Linked DNA regions of Oryzias latipes. The protein of the gene in region 3 binds, or shares a complex with, the protein of the main gene of each other region. Links are inferred from orthologs where the notes say so. Each region holds a gene or a part of one and is shown on either strand. Other genes may lie near its edges.

Evidence for each region.
Region 1: vps54 (region 3) and vps51 share a complex: the UniProt entries of both Homo sapiens proteins name them as parts of the golgi-associated retrograde protein (GARP) complex. The link is inferred for Oryzias latipes from reciprocal best matches to the Homo sapiens genes VPS54 and VPS51.
Region 2: vps54 (region 3) and vps52 share a complex: the UniProt entries of both Homo sapiens proteins name them as parts of the golgi-associated retrograde protein (GARP) complex. The link is inferred for Oryzias latipes from reciprocal best matches to the Homo sapiens genes VPS54 and VPS52.

The regions. Positions count from the first base shown.
Region 1 is NC_019872.2:19,788,216-19,792,451, reverse strand, and holds the start of vps51 (vacuolar protein sorting-associated protein 51 homolog), read left to right. Parts: upstream 1-1,406; 5' UTR 1,407-1,660; coding exon 1,661-1,843; intron 1,844-1,980; coding exon 1,981-2,110; intron 2,111-2,187; coding exon 2,188-2,334; intron 2,335-2,418; coding exon 2,419-2,638; intron 2,639-4,236. UniProt on the Homo sapiens protein: Acts as a component of the GARP complex that is involved in retrograde transport from early and late endosomes to the trans-Golgi network (TGN).
Region 2 is NC_019869.2:3,226,656-3,230,670, forward strand, and holds the start of vps52 (vacuolar protein sorting-associated protein 52 homolog), read right to left. Parts: upstream 2,817-4,015; 5' UTR 2,659-2,816; coding exon 2,563-2,658; intron 2,132-2,562; coding exon 2,050-2,131; intron 1,308-2,049; coding exon 1,255-1,307; intron 853-1,254; coding exon 777-852; intron 366-776; coding exon 298-365; intron 1-297. Other genes in the region: rps18 (40S ribosomal protein S18), read left to right, coding at 2,964-2,966, 3,717-3,815, 3,892-3,978. UniProt on the Homo sapiens protein: Acts as a component of the GARP complex that is involved in retrograde transport from early and late endosomes to the trans-Golgi network (TGN).
Region 3 is NC_019859.2:8,751,729-8,755,921, reverse strand, and holds the start of vps54 (vacuolar protein sorting-associated protein 54), read left to right. Parts: upstream 1-1,356; 5' UTR 1,357-1,554; intron 1,555-2,602; exon of another isoform or gene 2,603-2,729; intron 2,730-4,193. UniProt on the Homo sapiens protein: Acts as a component of the GARP complex that is involved in retrograde transport from early and late endosomes to the trans-Golgi network (TGN).

The DNA.
Region 1 (4,236 bases), on a different chromosome or scaffold from region 3:
TCCTTCATATATTTGTATTTGTACACAAAATGAAATGCTAATCCTGGTTAGGTGTCCTCTATTCGATCTGTCACTTTGCAGAAGCTGAAGTGCCTTTTTCTTTGTACCAAACTGCTCCGTGGATGATTGTTTTATGTTTGCAAATCAGAAACTGTCAGTTTTGTTTTTGTGGGTTAGAACACTTGTTTTGTTATCTCCATATTATTGTGAAAAAGTAATTATTTTCAAGGAAATATGTTGAAGTATGTAATGCAGTTTTGGTCTCCGTGTTTTTTATTTCTTTCCTTTTTTGTGTAATAAATAAATATCTGTAAAGTGTCTTGGATCTCTAAAAACATGTTTTGTGTTTTTCCCCTGAAGTGATGTGAATGTGTTGGTTATTTTACCCAACATAGTTTTGAATGTGATTTTTGATGTGAAACTCTAAACTCAAACCTTTTTTTCTTCCATTTTTTTCAGTTTAGACCAGATTTCTACTCTGGTTTTACAGTTATGCAAAAACTTTATTTGTCAAATGTGTGTAGGTCTTGTTGATGTAATGTATAACACTCAGTTGCTAAGTACTTATGTCTTGTTTTTGACATAAGAAAGTAAGTAGTTGAAATAAATATTATAATAGTCACGATTGGGGGTCAAAACAAACAAAAAACTTTTTTTCTTCTTATAAATTATTGTCAATAAAGCAGCATTCTTTTTTTTCATTAAAAAAAGAGTGCTCCTTTATTTTTTATTTAAACAAAAAAGTGAATTCTGTTGACTAGTTAATGTTATTTAAAGATGGCACGATAAAATTGTGAACATCTCGGCTTGCAAATTAGTTTTAGTTGCCCGATCTTCGATTTCTCGTTTTAAATGCATATTTTATTTCTTAACAACTCCTTGCTTTCAGAAGTAACGATTTTAGGAGAATTTTGAATCCAGTATAACATTTTAATTTTATGTTTCCAAAAGGGATGTTGGTAGTTTTAGTCACATAGTCCTGTCACTGCTTTTCTTTCTTTCTTAATCTTTTATTTTTTTTATATAAATTGAAAATTTCAATATAAATTTATTTCTGGAAAAACAATACCACTTATGCATATAATTCCATAAACTTAGAAAATGTACATCACTCTTTAGGCCACGTTTTCAGTTCTAATGATCTATTTTTTGTGTCCAAGGTCTCTTTTACAATAAAACATTTTATTTAATGTTCAAAGTGGACGGTTTAGAAATAAAACGCTGTTTTTCTTTTGCGGTTGGAAGGACAATGTTTATACATATCGAAAAAAACAGATCTGTATAATGAATATTTTAAATGAAATACAATTAAAATCCCCAAATACAAGCTCAACTTTATGTTGTTTTTCATTGACATGCGCACTGAGGAACATCCGGAAGTCTGCACCGCGCAACCTCAAAGAGAGCGTAACGTTTGATTGGCTACGAACGCGGAAATGACTTCTTCCATTTAGCTGCTTCGGGTGTCAGGAAAAATACTGAAAATATATTCCCATTGATTTAGAACGAATCATCTCGTTCTCATACATGCTTCAGACACAGGAAAATCCGTCACGTTAGAGAGAGAACTGACAGTTGTAGATCTTGCTGAAAACCAGTCAGCTTCGTCTCCTTCTTTTCATTTGACCCGTCTGTGTCTCACAGCTGGTCGGAGCTCGCGATGGACGCAGACACAGACGGTTCTGGAGGGCCAGATGAGTCTGGGAGGAGGCGAAAGGTGCATGGTATGCTGAAGCTTTACTATGGGCTGGATGAAGAAGGAAAGATCAGCGAGAAGTCGCAGTCTCTGGATCCCTGCGACATCAACGGGCCACATTTTGACCCGGAGCTCTACCTCAACAAGGTCTGCCAGTTTCCTGTAAACTCGATTTATAAACCTTCTCGAATCTTCTTGCACATAGCAGAGAAACATCAAAATGCTCGTAATTCTGATCGTTTTGAGGTGACATTTAGGTGACAGTCAGTTTGATGTTTCTTCAGCTCAGGAGGGAGTGCTCTCTGGCTGAGCTGATGGATCAGGAGACCTGCATGGTGAAGCAGATTCGATCTCTGGACAGTGACATGCAGACTCTGGTCTATGAAAACTACAACAAGTTCATATCTGCCACAGGTGAAGAATCCACCTTTAAGAAAACGCCAGTAAGTTACGCAAGCATGAGAAGATGAGCCATCTTTTTTTGTCCACAGACACAATAAGGAAGATGAAAAATGACTTCAAAAAAATGGAGGATGAGATGGACTGCTTGTCTGCAAACATGGCTGCGATCACTGACTTCAGTGCTAATATCAGCGGCACGCTTCAAGATCAGCATGCACAGATTACAAAACTCTCAGGTAAGATTTGATCTCGAATTGTTTTTGTAAATGTCTTTCTTTCTGACTTCATTCTGGTTGTGTCCCTCTGGTGTCTTCTCACAGCGGTTCACACTCTGTTGAGGAAGCTTCAGTTTCTCTTCGAGTTGCCTGCTAGACTGAACAAGTGTCTGGAGCTGAAAGCCTATGCTCAGGCAGTGAGCTTTCACCGCAGAGCCCGCTGTGTGCTCCAGCAGTACAGCCACCTGCCCTCCTTCAAGGGCATCCAGGACGACTGTCACGCCATCATGGACATGCTGGCTCAGGAGCTTCGACAAAGGTTTAGGTGAGGACTGTAAGCCGACAGGAGAGAGTGTAAACGTTGGGAAATGGGAGCAACGGTCCCGCCCACGACTCAGCGATCCGGCGCCGTTATTCGCATGACCCGCCGGGCAGCGTCCGGGAAACCAAAAGTCTTTAGGCACCACCGGCACGGACACAAAAAGGATTGACAGATTGACAGATCCTCGCTGATGAACTCCTGCTGCTCTGCAGGAACTCTTCTTTCTCTTTCGGCTTTTCCCATCAGGGGTCGCCACAGCGAATCATCCTTTTCCACCTCACTCTATCATGGACATCTTCTACCCTAACATTAGCCAACTTCATGTCCTCTGTTAAGACATCCATGTATCTCCTCTTTGGCCGTCCTCTTGCCCTCCTGCCAGGCAGCTCCATCTCCAACATCCTTCTACCAATATATCCACTATCCCTCCTCTGAACATGTCCAAACCATCTCAGTCTGGCTTCTCTGACTTTGTCGCTAACACAGGCAACATGAGCCGTCCCTCTGATGTACTCGTTCCTTATCCTGTCTAACCTGGTCACTCCTAAGGAGAACCTCAACATCTTCATCTCCGCTACCTCCATCTCAGCCTCTTGTCTCTGTCTCACTGCTACCGTCTCTAACCCATAGAGCAGAGCTGGTCTCACCACTGTCTTGTACACCTTTCCTTTGAGTCTTGCTGGCACTCTTCTGTCACACAACACTCCTGACACTTTCCTCCACCCGCTCCAACCTGCCTGCACTCGCCTCTTCACCTCTTTTCCACACTCCCCATCACACTGAACTGTTGACCCCAAGTACTTAAACTCCTGCACCTTCTTCACCTCAGCCCCCTGTAACCTAACGCTTCTACCTTGATCCCTCTCGTTCAGACACATGTATTCTGTCTTACTACGACTGACCTTCATGCCTCTTCTTTCCAGAGCAAACCTCCACCTCTCTAGCTGTTCCTCCACCTGCTCTCTACTCTCACTGCAAATTACAATGTCATCCGCAAACATCATTGTCCAGGGAGATTCCTGTCTTACCTCGTCTGTCAGCCTGTCCATCAGCATAGCAAACAAAAAAGGACTCAAAGCTGATCCTTGGTGTAGTCCCACCTCCACCTTGAACTCCTCTGTCTGACCTACAGGACATCTCACCACCGTCATACTACTCTCATACATGTCCTGAACTACTCTGACATACTTCTCTGCCACTCCAGACGACCTCATACAGTACCACAGCTCCTCCCTCGGCACCCTGTCATACGCCTTCTCTAAATCTACGAACACACAATGCAGCTCCTTCTGACCTTCTCTGTACTTTTCCATCAACATTCTCAAAGCAAAAATGGCATCAGTGGTGCTCTTACGGGGCATGAAACCATACTGCTGCTCACAAATCTCCACCTTCTTCCTAAGCCCGGCTTCCACTACTCTTTCCCACAGCTTCATTGTGTGGCTCATCAACTTTATTCCTCTATAGTTGCTGCAGTTCTGCGTGTCACCCTTGTTCTTAAAGATCGGAACCAGAACGCTTCTCCTCCATTCCTCAGGCATCTTCTCACTCTTTAAAATCCTATTGAACAACCTCGTTAGAAATTCCACTGCTGTCTCTCC
Region 2 (4,015 bases), on a different chromosome or scaffold from region 3:
AACCATAATTATGAATAAAACTGTGTGTAGATGTACCTTAAATAGATTTACAAATGAATGAGTGAATCTTTCTGTCCTTTACTCATTTCTAGAAGCCACAACTATAGTTGTTGTTTAATTGTTCCTATTAATATATCTACCTGGAACATTTGAGAAGCAAAAGAAATGTTGTTTTTTTTTTGCATTCATAATCTTCTTCTCACACATATCCAGTTTGTTAAGCTAAACCAAAGCTTGCATCGAGTGTCCGGGAGCAGTTTTCTCAAAGACAGCAGCAGGTCTGAGATCTTTTCTTACCTCCAGTATGGAGTCACAGGCAGTGATCTGGTTATGCAGGAGAGCAATGTTCTGACTCTCCTTAATGTCTGGAAGACAGATAATCAGGAAAACTGTACAGAACATTTCCATAAATAAAACCTTTGTGAAACATTTACTGGCTTCATCTTTTCATTTTAATGGATTAAACCTTTCATACTGCAATGGATTAAAAATGTATATATAAACTTAGATTTCCTATTTAAGTTTTCCCTAAAAAGACAAAAAATTAAATGTTACCGGTTACAAAAAGTTCGATCGACACTCCGTCTTTATTCTGATCTATGTTTATAAGATATTGAAACCAATCAAAAACACACAAAGCCATCTGTAATACCAGATTTAAAAAAGAAATTAGCTGTATATTAATTCAGCAAAGTTAAAGAAAGAAGAAAACTAGCAGAATAATAGTTTGGCGTGTTCTCATTTCAGGTCATTTTTTAACAAATATTGAAGGATACAGTCTTTAATAGATGCCTGCTCAATCCTCTGCAGCTCCGTCTCCACTTGTTTGGAATACTGACGCAGATCAACCCCCTAAAACGAAGGACAATTGACCGGCAGACAGAAAGTCAGCAGTTTAACATTAAACACAACATTCATATGACTAACTAAATTCATCACAGCCATTGTTGTTCTTCTATTAAGAGGTATTGAGGTTTAAAGTAAACTAAAAAGGCAAAATAAACCTTTACTTCTAGAGATTTTCAAAGAACAACAAAAGGATCTCATTGTTCGGATGATTTAAAGCTGTTGCTTGAAATAAACTGAGTGTCAAAGCCTGGAGAGATAAAAATACTAATAAATAATTGTTAACAGAGGCTAATGTCTGGACGTGGAGAAAATCTGCTCTTTGATACATTTAGTTTAAAAAAATCTATTCCTCGTATGACACATGAATGAATTGGTTGTCTTAAACAACTGAGCTCCATGTTTTACCGTTTTGAGCGCCTCCTTCACAAGATCATCCTCCAGATTGGCCTGAATATGAACTGAAAAACAGAAAAAAACCACTGATTTATTACAAAAAAACAGTTTTCAAACAGTGACACTGAAAAGCAATGACGGATTCTGCATTCCACTTTGACTATAAGTTCAAAGAATATAACAGGGGAGTAACAATTCATTTTAACAGTGATTCAATATCTGTGGTTAAGATTCCATTTTGGTTCATTGACCTAAAATAAATCCAGAGCATCTTTACCCAAAAATTCCACCAGTGTGACTCAGAGATAAATATTTGGGTCCGGAACAGTTCAGGGAAAGTTTTCCACATTCATTTTATTTTTTGCAACATAATCTACTGTAGAATAAATATTAAGAATTAATGCTAAATCTATTGACATTTTTAGTTTCCTAAAGTTCAGCCCACTGTTATTTTTCCACATCAACATAATCCAAACATTATTAGAACATTCTAGCACACTGTATGTCTTTGATCAGTTCAAAGTGTTTCCACACATTGGACTGGAATGATGGATTTATTATATTTGGATGCTATCACACGTGTGTATTGTACGCTGTAATGCACTTGGTCATGTTATAGTAGATTAAACCTACCCTGTCTCAGTCCATATGTTCCCATTTCAATTTGATTACTGATTCATCTAATTTCGCAACGATTTTTTAATTGCATTCCTTCCTCAGGCTGATCAATCTGGTTTGATCCTTGAAATACAAATCTATTCATCGATTATTCGTTACACCTGTAGAATTGTAGCAGTTGTTTCTTACCGTCGACTTCATCTAAGATGAACTCGTCTGTGGTGAGATCCAACTCCCCAAGGTTAAGAGTTGGGAAGTCTCCATCAGTCTTCTGAGAAAAAGACACAAAGTAATAAAAAAATATATATACATCCTGATGAGACGTAGACCCCTGCTTAACAAACAAACTATGAATAAAAACTGACTGAAAGAGAAAGTCAGTTTTGTTTGACAACAACTAAGCCTTAATGGACGTGATCAGAGACTAGTGATGCTACGTATTCAGGAAATTGTTCATTGCGGCAAACAAGAAGAGAGGGTAGACTTAAAACAACAGATCCAGACTGGTTCAAATTGACCTTTTATATCACACGTTTATCTGAAATGTTGTACTCTGCAAATACGTTTTAAGGAATTAGACAGTTCTTGACTTGTCTGCCAACAATTCAATTAGTTTCCAAATATGCTAACAGGGCAATCAGACAAATATCCCCCCCCCCCCACACAGACAGACACTAGACTTCTAAAATCAGTAAATGTCACCTCGTTTTGGAGATACGACATTGCTATTTCTGTTGGATTTCCTGATGTGTTTACATCCGATATCGCTCCTATGTTTGCTGCCGCTTCCGCCGCCATATTGGCAAATTGTGTAGATAAAGGAAAAAAAACGTTCCACCCAGTTAGTTACTGCAGCATTTTTTTAGGCATGATAAAAAGAAATGTCACATATAAATCTATCAGGCAAATAGGCAAGAACTTTTATTTTTATGAAGTCTATTTGATCAAAGTGAATCATTTTCGTGTCCATATTTTTTATTTTAAAAAAACAATCAAGTCCCTGCCGGACAAGTTAAACACCGCGGACCAACTTCCGTTTCCAACCACCTCAACCTCTCGCGAGAACTCCACGACTTCCTCTTTGCACGGAACCGACATCCAAGATGGTATGAAACATTTTCTGGCACTGTGAAACAGTCTTGAAATCTAGAGTAATCCAGCTTTATTCGCAAATTCTGTCCTTAAATCATCGGTGTTTTCAAACATTTATTCGACAGCGAAGCTATAGAATAGAATATTGGCTACACAATCATGAAGATGTTTTGTAGGAAAAGCGATTGAAAATGTGAGCGCCGACGGACTCTAACCGGCTAGCATTTCCTATGTTAAAATTCTGATGTTGCTCAAATTAAAGTTTTAAATACTCGCAACATTTCCAATACAACCTAAGTATTTTTAAACTGTCTCCCCAATTTGGTTGCGAGTTTTTTCTTAATTGAAACTGCTTGTGCGATCATGTTTGTAGGCTAATTTAGCCGTGATACTAGGTGTTGGGATTGCATGATATTTTCTAGCTAATGTGATCTGTACAAGATAATACAAACACTGTTCCCTTTGTGTTTAACAACTGCTTTGTTTTGGCCCTGCAAAGCCACCGTTTAGGCAACTTGTGTCTTCAAGCTCATGTATTAGCTTACCATACATACAGAACCATACAAAAGTATCTGATCAAATTACTGTAAGGTACAAGTGTTTTTTATGCTACCAAGCAATATTGAGCCATTAGAATGTTTTGTGTATGCATAGTTTCAGTTATAGTAGAGCATCACTTATAAATTTCTCTGATGTTGGTACAGAATGAGGATCATTTGAAGGATCTCACATGTTCAACTTTTGTTTTTGTTTTTTGTTAATAGTCTCTGGTAATCCCCGAGAAATTCCAGCATATTCTTCGTGTACTCAACACGAACATCGATGGTAGGAGGAAAATCGCCTTCGCCATCACCGCCATCAAGGTAATCTGATTGTGGGACTATTCATGTATCTGCAGAAAATACAAAAAAGTAAACGTTATTGTCTATCTGGTTACAGGGTGTTGGCAGACGTTACGCCCATGTTGTCCTGAGGAAGGCTGACATTGACCTCAACAAGAGAGCTGGAGAGCTAACGGAGGAGGAGGTAAGGCGGCAATGAATTCTCTAAGTTGTTTGTAAAT
Region 3 (4,193 bases):
TGGCAAAAGTTGTAGTTTAATTCCTCTATTTATTCTTGTGCCTCTTTAGTGAATCGGTTCAACAGCAGGAAAGTTGCCTGTGTTTTTCCTAAACATCTGACAAAATCTATTTTCTGGACAACACTGGAGTGTCAAAAAATGTGAAATGTAACTCAAAACTCTGGGATCTTCTTTCTCTGAAATCAGGTAAACTGTTGCCTAATCTGTCTATTCATTTTGACCTTAATTCATATGAAAAGTGCATTATGGGAAACTTGTGAAGCTGCTTGCGACTGGAAGTATCTGAAAAGGAGTTTTTTTGTTTCTTCCAACCAAATCAAAAATGTAAAAGGTGTTTTAAACAAGCATTGTTTAGTTTTGAACTCTGTATAGTGTTCTCTAGTAGCCCCCATGAGGTCATTCCTGATACTCATCTTCATTTAACTGTGACTGTTTCTTCTCTAGAAGTTCAGCTTTTTAATAAAGTAAGATAGATTGTTTTTTTTTAACTAAACAGGCACCTCTTGACCTAACCACTAGTTAATGGACTTTTTTGTCTTTTTGTCATTTTAATGCGTTTATGTATGACTCTTGGTTTGTTATCACAGCTATGCAGTTTTGCCTCAGACTGTTTTTGTACCAACGGAAAACAATAAAAAACACTGCTGAGGTTTTGACACAGTTTGTTTCCTTCTAGATAAACGTTATCATTTTGTTTGTTTCTTTGCATGAAAGATCACAAAGACACAGAACATGAAATAAACCCAAAAGGATGGAAAACCTTTCCTAGAAATATGCAGACTGGCCCAATTACACAAAGACTCAACCAGGAAGTTATAAAAGAAACTGCAAAAGGGCAGGCCTAACATGACTCGCTCAGGTCAAAGTTCACATAAACTTTTGGGCAAAAATAGATCCATGGGAGACTCCAAGACGCAACTAAGCAAAAGAATTGTCACAAAACGGGACCTTTCTAGAAACTGCATCCTGTTTCATCAGAGCAGAAGCAGAAGAGGCATTTAAACAGAGATTTTAACATGTTTCTAAAGTCAACAAAGAAAGTAAAACAAAATGGAGGCTGTTTTTCCAACAGTTCAGATTACAATTATCAATGTAATGATCAAAAACTGCATGTTCTGTTACCTGAAGTGATCTTTGTCCAATATTTATATTAAAATTACTGACATATGTAAAAATATATTAGTTTAGAAGGAGGCCTTTTTAAATATTTGAGTTCTGTTCAATATTTGCATCTAAATTGGTTTAAAAAAAAGAAAAGTATAATTGAAACTTTTTTTTTCTGGAAAAACAGTTGTTACCGGTATGGTCGACAGGTGGCAGCAGAGAGCTTTGGGCTTCAAATCACAGACACAACTGGTGTGAGTGCGTTGTTTTAACAGTCTGTGTGTGAATGTGAAAGAGGAGAAGCCGCGTCGCTGTGTTCCCCCGCATTGCATGATGGTCGGAGTGCCGGTGCTGACTGCACAGTGTGCCAGCTTGTTTTCCTCCCGGCTCCTGTGAAGTTTCTGGGATGGTAAAGAAGGGAAACTCCGACTGCTGCGCTCCACACGACAGGTAGGCGAGCGACCGGTACTCCGAGGCTGCCAAACGAATCTCGGCTTGTTTGGTGTCTGCGCGGAACCTCCTTCTGTCTCTGCTAGCATTAGCCCTGTGCTCTGTTTGTAACCGTCAACATTAGCTTTAGCTTTGACAGCAACTCTGCGATATTCTTCTCTTTCAGCGCAGAATTAAAAAATAATCGAGTTTTTGTATCGGTGTGTAAGGTACACTTTCATGTCAACTCTATTAAAAACAGAAAAATGAGAAAGTTACCAACAAGCTCATGCTAGCTAGTTAGCAGCAGAGCAAATCTGACAGCTCAGGTCGGAGCATTTAAACTGTAACACAAAAGTCTAATTAATCTTTCATGGGATAGTTAAAAAGTGGGTTTATACACTCTCTTTGTATTCATTTATATAATTAGTTTCAGCCTACAGTTGAAGTCAAGACATTGTTAAAAGCTTCTGTCTTCTAAAGTTGTCAAAGCTAAAATGCTAAAATTAGCATTTTGAGTTTTTCTTTTTTAATTTAAATTCTAAAACAGTTTCCCGTTTTAGTTCTGGAATTTTTTTTATATAAAACCAATCTTATAAAGATGATTGTTAAGGTTAATTCAGGTGACCCACTATGCTTCTGGTTATCTTGCTATAAACAGACTAAAACAGATACTAGTGGTGAGAGCTTCAGGGCACATTGGACATTTGTACTCCAGATCTTTTTTGTCTGCTTTCTTACATTCATGAATGTTGAAGCCATGATGGCTGTTAATTACTTATTTATATATCAATATAGGGCTTTTCTAAGGTCAAAAGTGTTTTGCATTACAATAATAATCTTTAACCATGTGGAAAGGTTGAGGGGATCAGTGTTTTGCCCACGGACACTCGAGCAGGAAAGGCAGGAAATGAACCTGCAACCTTCGAAACATGGGCCCTCCACCTACCTTTGCATCACAGCTACTGTTTCTTTCCTGTCTTTTCTCTGAGTTGATCACATCAGATGGTAAATGTAGTTTTTCTGTTTTAGTTATGTATTTGGTTCACATTCACTTCATTTCTTATCAGTTCCTTTCCCAGTATGCTTGATTACTCACCAGCCACATTATTAGGTACACCCTACTGGTACCGGGTTGGACCCCCCCTTTTTGCCTTCAAAACAGCCTTAATCCTTTGTGGCAAAGATTCAACAAGGTACTGGAAACATTCCTCAGAGTTTGGTCCTTATTGAGATGATAGCATCATGCATTTGCTGCAAGTTTTTTGGCTGCACATCTATATGCCAATTTACCATTCCACCACATCCCAAAGGTGCTCTGTGGGTTTATATCTGGTGACTGTGGAGGCCATTTGAGTCCAATGAACATAAACTAATTTTGGCATGGCGCTTCATCCTGCTGGAAGTAGCCATCAGAAGGTACACTGTGGTCATAAAGGGATTGACATGGTCAGCAACAATATTCAGGATGGATCCATGTTGTTAATGCCAAATTCAGACCCGAATGTCACAGCAGAAATGGAGACTGATCAGACCAGACAACGTTTTTTTCAATCTTCTATTGTTTTTCCCATCTTCTATTATCCAATCACTGGATATTTTCTCTTTTTCGATCCAATCTCTATAAACCCTAGACATGGTAGATCATCAGTGAATGAAACACTCAGACCAACCCATCTGGCACCAACAACAATGCAACATGCAAAGTCACTTAAATCACATTCTTGTGTTCGCTTTGAACTGCACAGATCATCTTGATCATGTCTACATGCCTAAATGCTTTGAGTTGCTGCTTTAAGACAACCACTGTCACTACTTTTTAGAGTAAAATAAACTGAGTTGAATGAAAGGTTGTTACCAGGTAAATAAGTCTGCATCTTCATGTTTTCTTCACTGCAGCCTTAATTCTTTTCTTTTGTCAGAATTGCCTGGATTTGCCTGAATTTCTCTCCTAAACGTTTAACATGAACTCACTCCAGTGTTCTTCCTCCTAATGCTATCCATCCTCAGCTTTCTCAAAGAGAATCTAAACATTTTCAGCTCGCTCTCTTGTCTTTTACTCAGTGCTGCTGTCCCTAAACCATCTCCTCCCTTTCCTGCAAATATTCTTAGTCAAAAATAGCACTTGCACTTTTATGCACTCGATTACATCACTTTGTTTTCCTAGACTTTTGCTCATTAATGTTTGTGATGTAGCAAAGAAAGTGTGCAGAAATAGTCCTGATGCACCGAAACTCGCACAGCGCTGCTACTTTAAAATCATTCAATCTGTGACTTGATGGTTTTATTTATTTTTTTACTCATTTAGGATGACACTTGCCTTAAAGAAAAATAAAATATAAAGGCTCATGGAATTATTATTTACCTAACAAAATATCCTGAAATAGCATTTTATTTTAAGGCATTTCTGTAATGTATAATATAAATAAGATGCAATAAAAAACTGTCACTGTTGACCTATTATAGTATGATATAATACTTATTTAAACTATGAAAATTCTGGAGCTTCACTGAAGCGGTTCGTTGAAGCAGCATCTTGCAGACTAACGCTGGACTGAAGCATTAATGTTTTGTGCTGACCACTAAGAGCACAGACGTATAAGACCCTCTGCTGTTAATCTCATCACAGAGATGAGGGGATTACAGGAAAAATCTCCCGT